Linked DNA regions of Caenorhabditis elegans. The protein of the gene in region 1 interacts with the protein of each later gene in a pairwise test. Each region holds a gene or a part of one and is shown on either strand. Other genes may lie near its edges.

Region 1 (6,335 bases):
ATGTTGCGTCAAAAGGACGGTACTCGGTCTCGACACGAAAAATTTTCAAACATTTTTAAAAAGGGGTTGCGCCTTTACAGGTTACTGTACTTTCAAATTGTCGTTGCTGCAGAAACAAAAGTTTAAAATTACAGTGCTCTTTAAAGGCGCACGCCTTTTCGCATTGAAAATAAAATTGTCGTGACCAGGGGAGATACCAAAAATGAATTTTTTCGCATCTTCGTAATATGAAACTGTGCTGAAAACCCACTTCAACAGCTAAATCATCTAATTTTTTCGATTCTTCTTTCAACTTTTGATATTTCTCAATTATCGATTTTCTATCCATCGTGTGTGATGACGTCGGCGCTCCCGCATCGAATGAATCGTCGGAATCAATTTGTATGGGCTCCGTGTCCATTCTATTATCGAAGCCTCCAAAAATATCATCGTCGCTTATATCTGACATTTATCTGGAATTGAGTTATAGTTACAGGGGAAAAAGTGGTAAAAGAAAATAATAAATGGAACTGATCCAATTAAAAATATACCAAATAAACGTAAATATAAGAAAATTGAACTTTTTTTTTAAATATTTATAACTAGTTAACTGCTATTTAAAACAATTAAAATATCACATATTAACAACTGATGTTATTTTTATTTTCCCGTAATTTTAGACAAAATAAGTTAGACAATAATAAGTTAATAGGCACTGACAAATTATAAAAGTGATAATCTCTGAAGAATATCTCGGACAGTTTCATCGTGACTGGCTTCATTCCGGAGATCCTGAATGATTGCGTCAAGGCGTTTTTGCAAATGAGCAGGCGAGCCTACTGATCGTTTCAGAAGACCTCGGATCGTGGAGCGCATCTGAAAATTTGAGGGTAGTTAAGATAGTTAACGGTTCAGTGAATACCTCTTCATGAATTTCAAATAACATGACAACATTTTCCAGTGTAATTACTGCAATGGTTGGGTCATTGGCGAGTGAGAATAGTTTTGTGATGACGTCAGAAATGTTGCAATCCACTCGAATTCTGGAAAATATATTTTTAGATTATTTAAATTTCAAAGTTGTCAATTGTTTTTCTTGAATTTTTCAAAAATTTTTTAAAGACTCACAAATGATCATCATCGCCGAAATGCAATTTTTGACTGCTATCTGCTCGAAGTGGATCAACTTTTCGGCATGTACACAGGTAACGGAGCATATTGATATAAATCTCTGCCAGTGGAACTCCTTTATACTCTTTTGACCATTCTTCGTGATTTCTGAAACATTTTTAAATTATTGTTCACAAATCTCAATAAATTCACCTTTCAACAATTGCAAGTATTTTCGAAAAATGCGAAAGAGACGGCATTTCTTCATTAAATCCTTCTGGGCAGAAACTGAGTGTTGCGAGGAACTGACTGATGAGAGGGGATACTGTAGCACACACAGAAGGACCGTTTGTGCTCATTTCGTCGAGATATTCTATCACACGCACACTCGACATTTCCATCTAAAAGGTTTATGTTTTATTTATATTTTGGCAAGCTTGTTGGAAAAATACTTGAGGAAGAAAATTGGCAAGAAGGCACATTTGAATGTTTTGCACAGTCATCTTGACGCGTCGGGACGGATCTCGGACAGCTGGGATTGTAAGTGATAGATTTGTGATGCACACTCTCATAAAATCCGCTTTTCGCTTTCCAGACTTTTGAGTACGATGGATGAACTGTGTGAAATTGAACAAAGTTTCAATGATGTGCTGTAAATATTTAAGTTTTTTTTTTCAAATTGTTTCTAATTCAAAACTAACAATTAAACTATTCTGCCGTAATCCCATGTCTTCTCGACATCTGACTATTAATTCAATGCATTGATCCAAATTTGTAAATGCTTGGAAATCAATCAGAGAAAGTGAAGAGCAAACAAGTTGCTCCGCAGCTTTGACTTCTTCTGATTCTTCCAGTCTATACGCTTTGCACAAAGTTCGACATTTCTCAATAATGAATTGACAGGCAGATATATCGGAAATCGTGTGGCGTGTGAAGGTTTTAGAGAAAATTTCCAAAATTCGTCGAGAACAGTCTGATGTTGATTGAATATCATAACCGATTAGATCTACTATTTTGATGAAACTATTTGACGTGACAATGTCCAAACAATCAGATTTATTTGCATTATGTTCCAGGAAGGCGGCAATTAGATTGATGAGAAGAGCCGTGTTTTCTGGCTTCTGAAAATTTTAATATTTTGGTAAACATTTTTATATCGGTGTAAATACATTTTCGGGTTTTTTGTTGTAAAATCTATTAAAAAACCGAAACTAACCTTAGTTTGATCATCAATTCTGAGCCGAACCAAAACCAATTCCAGAATCTTTGTGACTTCCTTCAAGGTGTAATATTTTGTAATATAAGATGTCCATGCAGCACAGCAATCGACAAAAGTTTGAAAATTCGAAATATCTGCTACACGCATCCATACTGACCTGAAACAACTCTCAAAACAATAGAGAGAAGTAGAGATAATGAGAAGGCGAATTGAGTTATACTTTAGACGGAGACAGCCGTTTGTGAGCAAGTGAGCACAATTTCGGTCACAAATAGACACAGACGTTATGTTGTGATGACGAATGTAGGGGAATTGGGGAAACGTGATGCGTAAGGCAACGTTTTTGATCCAAAAAAATTTTTCATGTCAAGAAGGAAAAATGGAGGAAATTTCCTTTTTGTAGGGGGAATATTCTCTCAAAAACATTTTTTAAGAACAAAATTTAGAAAAAGTCTGAAATTAGACCAGCCATAAACTTTTTTGGGAAATTTTTAAAGACCATCTCGAATATAATAAAATACCAAATGTTTCTGATCGGCTATTTCTCCTTAATTCATAAATTCGGATTTTTTTTGATTTCGAAAATAAATTTAGCCACTTATTTACTTTTTCACAAATTTTCTATTTTCCTCGATCGGCGCCATATTGAGATATCGTTTTCCGAGACGTGTGAGCGGTTCTTCAAAATCTTCATGTAATGCAAAAATAATATCCAGTACTTGTTCAGAATGCACGGATAAATATTTCGATGGTAATCCTTCTATCACAGCTGACACCAAAATAAACGTTTTCTCATCAAGTGGAGAAGTTTTTCGGCAGTATGCAAAAAGTGGAACAAGATCATCAACAGTGTGAGCTCCGTGAGCAACACATTGAACAATCCAGGAAACTCCTTGAATTGAGACTGCTTCTTTTCTGGCGTCCGCGAGTGAAGTTTTCTTTCGATGGAGCTCTTCCATAACATCTTTCGGTGCCTGCATCCAATCATGTAGAACTCTCCAGTGAGGAGTACGATTTAATGGATCAATGAGCATACTGTAGCGGGTTATGTGAACTCGAGCAAATATTGAAGAGAGATCATCGTTGAATTCTGAAATTATATTGATGGGTTGAATTTTTTGAAGAAAAAAACCCACGGGAGCACATTATAGCGAGGCGTTCCAAATTTATTGATAGATTTGCTGCATCGAAAAATTTCAGACACGCAATCATCGAGCATTCAACTGAAAATATTTCAATTTTTTTCTTATAAACTGAGTGGTTCTTACTATAAAACCGAATTGGAATATCTATAATTTCAGATAATTTCAGAAACCAATTCATTGCCATATCCTTCACATTTTTCGGTACCTGCTCCACGGTGAAATTCGCAGAAAGATCGGTTTGACCGTTTTTGTTTCGAGCCTGAAAATATTTAATATGATTTTTAAATTTTCTGCTCATTTTCATACCTCGTTTGACTTTGCAAGTAATCGATCGTAGAGTAATTTTCCAAATGTATCAACAACATCAATTGCAAGAAGCCAGTAATATGGATATTCTTCCGATTGTGGAGGTATAGACTGTAGAAGATTTGCCGATTCAATTACAATCTGAATTTAAATCATTTACTTATTAAACAGTAATTTATGTTATTCTGAAATCCTTACTTTAAATGATTCTACTCGATCTTCTCTTCCCCATGCGGTAATTAGATTTTCCCTGAGAATTAAAAATCTCTGCGATACATCTCCAGCTTTCTTCACATTTTTCAAATTCTTCTCATCGGAAAGTGATTTCAGGCGAGCTCGTAGAACATCAATTTGTGACATTCCAAATTCTTTTGGTTTTGCAACCAGAGCAATTTGAGCTCGTTTCTCTCTCCACGCTTGAAATTCGGGCAATTCTATGTTGAAACTCGAGTGATCGGATCGTTTGTTTTCAAGAGTGTTATCCAATGAAAAACTACGAATTGATTTCGTACTTTGCTGTAATATGTCTCGATCAACAGTTTCCTCGCCGTCTGCAGCTCCAAATGTAGCGCCTGAAATTTAAATCTATTTGTTTTTCTTCAAATTCGTCTAACCGACCAAGAGGATCTTCAAAATCATACGTTTCTTTTCCTTTTTCTTCCGATTTCTTCGATTCTAGTTTTTTGCTTTCCCATTTTGTCCAAAACGCAGCTATTTTATTTTTAGTTTCTGCGTCTTCTAACGGGTGTTGAACGGCCGGAATTACCAAATCCGGGTCGGTTTCGAATTTTCGGGCGGCGGGTCTAACTTTCCAGATTGACTCGGCCGCCATACCTTAAAAATTGAAAAATAAAAAATTATCCAGTTCGTTTTTAAGAAAAATATAAAAAAATATATAGAAAAACAAGCAAAAAAAGCAGAAATTGACTCTGAAAACATAAATAAATATATTGTCCGAGAGGAGTACACGGCCGGCGGCCGAGTCGGATGTTAGGCCACAGTGCGCGGTTGTTCAAAATAGGATTTTCCGCGAAATTTCCACTGATTTCAGTTTGTTCGTTGTATTTTTGGCATTTAAAATGAATAGTTTTCAAGAATTCAAACATGAAAACATGATAAAAACTTTATTAATCAAAATCTCAGAATCTATCGACCGAGCCACGCATTTTTCAACAAAGAATTTATCTGATCAGCAGTCACTCTTTTGTCCATTGTCCCACCGTCCGCCAACGACTCCCAATTTGGAATAACATCTGAAAACATATTATAAATTTTGAAAGTTAAACTGATCAAGCTAAAAATAAGTAAGCTAACGCACCTTCATCAACTTGTCTGTCGATTTCGTAGCGAAAAGGGACCCAATTATCATGAGAATACATTTGGTTGTACATCAGAATTGGTGAAGGATCATAGTCGAATCGTTTAGTCTGAAATTAACAAATAAAAACTCGAATTAGTGCGAAAAAAGTGCAAACATTCACCCAATTAGTACTGCAAGCTTCAAAACGCTCAACGAATCAAGTGGGCGTGGCCAAACGAGACTCCGAATTCCGCACGGCAGTTTACAGTTCTACGTGGCGTAGAAACCCCTAATTTTTGACTTTTGCGCCAATAATACCGTAAATGGTCTCGACACGACAAATTTTCATCGAATGTAAAATGGTGTGCTCCTTTAAAGAGTACTGTAGTTTAGACCTTTAGTTGCTACTGAATTTTATTGATGTTTCACAATTTTTGAGTAAGAATGTATGTATTTATGTTGGAAACTAGTATTAAATTCTGAAAAACCTTTAAGTTGTTAACGAAATGCGAAATAACAGGGAAAATTCATTGAAATTTCGAATTGCCACAGCATCGAAAGTTTGAAGTTACAGTACTCTTTAAAGGCGCACACCGTTTTTAATTTAATAAACATGTGTCATTTACCTGGTACCGTATTTTTAGCTCAAAAAACACAAAATTTTGTCTCTGGATAGTTTCAAAGGTGTTGATTATTTAATTTTTTTTTAATTATTCAAAATTGTTTTAAATTTAAAAAATTACATTAAAAAATAATAAAGTCTAACCTGAATATAATACGAGAAGACAGTGTTGCAAAAGTAGAATAGTAGCAATACGACAAATGTAAAAACCGTCATTTTGAGAGCGGACCACTCTGAAATGAAAACGATGAAAATTGATGGAAATATGTTCAAAGAACGAAATTATTAAGTAAAATGAATTGAAAATTATATTATATTTTATGTGTTCCAAGCATACACAAAACAATAACATTTTTATCCAGGAGCGGCAGCAAGGTCCATGTTATTTTCATTTTATTCTTATTTTTGGCCAACAGCGTCAGCACAACTAATTTCAGAATGGAGGAGGTCCAGGGGAGGGTCTTGAAGGCAATAATTAGCCTGATTAGTCTTCGAATACGTCATTCTGTTCATTGAGAACAAGATTTCTGATTTTCTTTTGGAACATTTTGGAGAAGAATTAGTTTGAACTTGACACGCGAACAATCTTTTTTTCTTTTCCGAAAATTGTTACGTGATGGATATATCGGTGTGGTCTGAAGACCCCATGAGTCT
Region 2 (4,543 bases), on another chromosome or scaffold:
AGGTTTCACCAGAGCGTAACCAAATTCCGCTCATTCTTGACGTGAAAACGATTTCTGATGCTCTCAATATTTTGTAATTATTTCTATTGCTTGCTACCTGAATTCACGTGTACCACAATATAGTCATGTATTATTTAATTGTTCTTGTTTTTTTGTTGTTTCCAAATACAATACAACTGTTTTAAGCTTTTTCTTTCGTTAAAATTTCTTTAAAACAGAAATGTAACAAAAAACATAAATTTAAACAAACTGTATGGAAAACTGTACAGTTTTCGATACAACGAGAGTTTGAAACTACAGTACTCTTTAAAGGGTCATGCCATTTTCGAATTCATCAAAAGTTCGTCGGGTCGAGACATACATACTACAGTAAGAAATGTAATATTCTCATAAAGCTCAAAACAATGTATTTATAACCCAATCAACAGCATTTAGACCGGACTATATTTTTCCTATCGGGATCTCCCTTTGTTTTGAAACAGACGATTAAAACTCAAAAAACGCAAAGTAAAATTGAAATTCGTTCATTTTGTTAATGATCGAAATATTTAGGTTACATCAGTATAAAAGGTTTGCATAAGGCAATAAAAATAACGTTATTTTACATGAAATGTTAGAATAGAATTATATGTCTAGTTCATAGACATCTGGGACACGTCACCCAAGAGAGTCCGTTGCTGCACGGCCGATCCGATGTTAGTACTGCGCATCTTTGAGGCGAATTCGATGCTTCTCTTGGACTCTGTCGCTTGCTCGTTGCATGGATTGAGATTGACCACAACCATAGTCTTCGAGTTGCCACGTCCCAAGCAGTCCATCAGCACTTGTGTCAGTTTGCTGTCGCGATATGAAACATGTCCCTTCTGGGATCTTTGCTGGCTGATGCACATCTGAAGGATAGACAACGACTGGTTGATATTAGTCATCTCCTTGAACTGGTCGCCACTGACACCAGACTCCTTGGCACGTTCGGATCCTGCGAGATCCACAAGTTTGAGCTGGCACGATGTTGAAATTCCTGTATATCAATATTGTGAATTAATTATTTTTATTTTCGAAAGTTACCAGTTGATGGCTGATGAGCTGTAATCTTCCACATATAAACGGCGTGCGAACGAGACGAGCTCTCATTGCACTTTGTCGCCGCCGTCTTCCTGCCACCGTCTGCTACACGAAGAAGTCTAGCCACATCCGAGACATTGGAAATCGTGTGCTCGGAGAGCCCAATCATGGAAACCGTTTGATCGTTCAAACGAAGTTGGACAACGGCGCGGTCACTGAGAAGGTCGTATGCCACGTTGTTGTAGACTTCTAGGAAAGACAACGAGAAGTCGAATTTCCATCCAAGTGACTCGAGCTTTCTGGATTCGGCGAACAGAAATGCAGCTGCTCTCGGGATGATTCCTTCCTCTTCACCATTTCCTCCTCGCATCGTGTGAGTTTTGCCACTTCCGGTTTGTCCATAGGCAATCAATCCGACGTTGTACCCATGCAGTGACGACTGAAATTATCAATTTTCAATTATTAATATTATATTTTGAAACTAACCCGAATGAACTCCTCGACGTTCGCGAACACTTCCTTCTGCGAGAAGACTGGCGTGAAAACCTTCTCGAATTTGACCACAATTCCAGGCTTCGAGCCTTCATTGATTCTGATGGTATCGATAGCCGGATACTCAATTGCAGAACTCGAGGCGTCGGCTTCAGATTTGATCAACGGCCGAACGCGAACAGCCACACGAATTTGACCGCGTAAATCGACAACATCGTTGTGCAACTTTCTCAACTCAGCTTCCTTTTCGTTGAGCAGATCCCGGAGATCGTTGTTGTGCACACGATAATCCTCGCACTCCTCCACTTTCGCCTTGTTGACTTCTTTCAGCGTGCTCAATTGATCTTGCAGTGAAATCAGCTTGCGATCCGCTCCTTCAAGTTTGCCATCCAGGATTTGGATCTTGCTCTTCTGATGTTCAGCAAAGTCGGTAGCCTCAGCCATCGCACTCTCGAGCTGCGCAATTTTCTCTTCAAGAAGCGCCATCTTAGAAGGGAGAATAGGCTTCTGTGCCACTGGTCGGGCTCTTGTCACCGACGGCTTCAGGGAAGAAGTCGCAGTTGAGCGTTGAGTGGATGGTGGCGGTGGACGACCTGTGCGAAGTTGTCGAAACGTAGAAGCTGCCGTCAGTGTGGAAATACGGCTCGCGGTGGATTGCATCGTTGGTATGGGACGGGAACACGACGCTGGTTTGGCCATCGCTGATCGTTCTGGCAACGATGCTCTACCAGTTGCAGGCGTTGTGGGGGTAGGCAAACGAGACGGAGGACGACGAGCAGCGGCTGAAAACTCGTAATTAAAGTAGTTGTTAACAAAAAAGGTTTTAAACAAAAACAAAAACATGTTTTATTTAGAAGTGTGAACACTTTGAAATCACGAGGAAGTTATTTAAAAACACAAATGACAAATTTACCTCCAATCGTTATTCCTCCAGGAGCCGACTGTCTTGGGATTGTTGTTGAATTGGCTTCTTTGGTGGATGGCGCGGCAGCACGTCCTCTTGTGATCTTCGGCGTTGCTCCGATAGTCGACCGAAACAGGCCACTTCTTCTTCGAGCGACATTCATCGCGAAATTTGGGACAAAAATGAGGAAATCAGCCCCTTCATTGACATTTTCCCGCTCAAAGTTGAACTCCGCCTCTGAAAATTCCCGCCAAATCGAATGGATTACCGTAGTCAACTACGGTATTAGATCAAAAATTTATATCATGTTGAGCTCATCCAGAATTGTCGGATATAATTATTTTGTTGTCAAAAGGCATAAAGAATGCCGTAAAAATTATTTATAACTATAACACAGAAGGCTTATCCATAATTGCACTGATATCAGGTTATACAAACAAATATATAAAATGCAGGTCTAGAAATTATAATGTGAGCGACACTCCGATATTCCGGTGCGCGCCTTGTTTACCGTATATCTACACCAAAGTAATTGCAAAAAAAAAATTTGAAAATATTTGCTTGCGAAAATTTTTATACACTTTCTTCAATATTTTGATTTTTCTGTGGTTTTTTAAAAATATAGGTTGGTAAATGATTGTTTCCAGATGACTTCTATCGATGTAACAGAGATTATCAAATCATCGACATCTTCTTTGTATCAGGTAAATTGATATTAAATTTTTTTGATTATAAATAGTTTACAGCCAGCAAGAAAGAAATCTCGTTTTGACGATAGTGCTTCTTCTTCATCTCAAGCTGGCCAGCCAAAACCAGAAGATATTCTTGCGGCTTTGGAAGCCGATCAATCAAATTATGTGGCTCTCGACGATGTGCAAGTTAAGAAACTTGTTATTCAACTTGACAAAAAGATGCGATTAAATCGAGAACAAAGAGTTAAAAATCCAGATGATGCTCAGAAATTCATGGAATCGGAAATTGAATTAGACAAGGCAATTCAAGAAATGCATAGTCTGGCTTCTCAACCAGACCTTTATGGATCGTTTGTTGAAGTCAACGGAGTTGAAATTCTTCTTCAATTATTAGGACACGAGAATACTGATATTGTGTGTGCAACACTTAGTCTCTTGAGAGAACTTACAGACGATGATGTGATGAACGAAGGAGAAGATGGAGCAGCTGAACTTATTGAAAGTCTTGTGTCTGGATCGATTATCACAACTTTGTTAGCATGCGTAGAGAGGCTCGATGAAAGCGTCAAAGATGAAGCGGATGGCGTCCATAATGCACTCGGAGTTGTGGACAATGTAAGAAAAATCGATATTTGAAAAACAAAACAATATATTTTCAGATGATTGGTTTCCGCGATGACATTACTGAAGAATGCGTAAAGCACGGATTCACGGTTTGGCTTCTGAAAAGATGCTTTCAGAAAGGTGCATTTGATGCGAATAAGATGTACGCTTCGGAACTTCTTTCAGTCATATTGCAGACTTCTGATACTGCAAAGGCAAAGCTGACAGAGAAAATTGATGGCATCGATATTTTATTGAGAGTGAGTAGCCAAACAAAGTATCAAGAATAAATTGAACTTTTAAGACCATTGCTGTGTACAAAAAGAACGATCCAGCAAATGTAGACGAACGAGAATACATGGAAAATCTATTCAACTCACTTTGTGCCGCACTTATGCATCCGGCTAATCGAAGTACGAATTTTTTTGAATATAAACACCAAAAAAATTGCTCTTGTTCAAAATAAATGTTTTCAGAAAAGTTCCTCGACGGAGAAGGTCTTCAATTGATGAATTTGATGCTCCGAGAGAAGAAACAAGCAAGACAAAGTGCTCTGAAAGTTCTGAACCATGCAACATCAGGAGACGAGGGAATCGAAAATTGCAATAAACTTGTCGAAATGCTCGGATTGAGAACAATTTTCCCGTTATTCATGAGAACACCTTCAAAGACAAAAAGAAAGGATACGACACCTGATGAACATGAAGAACACGTTTGTACGGTAAGATTTATGTTGTGATATTATTTTGAATGTTTTAGCTTCAAAATTGGACTGGTAAATCGGACTTTC

What was found. Proteins that work in one complex are often made in the same cells at the same time.
Region 2: the proteins of F26G1.1 (region 1) and klp-15 interact in a two-hybrid assay, tested with the Caenorhabditis elegans proteins (one large-scale study listed by BioGRID).

Annotation. Positions count from the first base shown.
Region 1 is NC_003280.10:4,789,878-4,796,212, reverse strand, and holds F26G1.1 (VPS35 endosomal protein sorting factor-like), read right to left. Parts: upstream 4,596-6,335; 5' UTR 4,592-4,595; coding exon 4,378-4,591; intron 4,332-4,377; coding exon 3,958-4,331; intron 3,901-3,957; coding exon 3,760-3,900; intron 3,713-3,759; coding exon 3,577-3,712; intron 3,532-3,576; coding exon 3,445-3,531; intron 3,399-3,444; coding exon 2,915-3,398; intron 2,466-2,914; coding exon 2,306-2,465; intron 2,211-2,305; coding exon 1,791-2,210; intron 1,740-1,790; coding exon 1,542-1,739; intron 1,491-1,541; coding exon 1,303-1,490; intron 1,258-1,302; coding exon 1,108-1,257; intron 1,023-1,107; coding exon 902-1,022; intron 856-901; coding exon 703-855; 3' UTR 545-702; downstream 1-544. Other genes in the region: C33F10.4 (Alpha_adaptinC2 domain-containing protein), read right to left, coding at 251-448; F26G1.15 (Neuropeptide-Like Protein), read right to left, coding at 4,906-5,012, 5,078-5,186, 5,826-5,897.
Region 2 is NC_003279.8:5,576,561-5,581,103, forward strand, and holds klp-15 (Kinesin motor domain-containing protein), read right to left. Parts: upstream 2,635-4,543; 5' UTR 2,622-2,634; coding exon 2,468-2,621; intron 2,337-2,467; coding exon 1,549-2,336; intron 1,502-1,548; coding exon 1,066-1,501; intron 1,019-1,065; coding exon 633-1,018; 3' UTR 510-632; downstream 1-509. Other genes in the region: rmh-1 (RecQ-mediated genome instability protein 1 homolog), read left to right, coding at 1-77; ctnb-1 (Beta-catenin-like protein 1 N-terminal domain-containing protein), read left to right, coding at 3,106-3,162, 3,205-3,765, 3,810-4,013, 4,058-4,166, 4,230-4,474.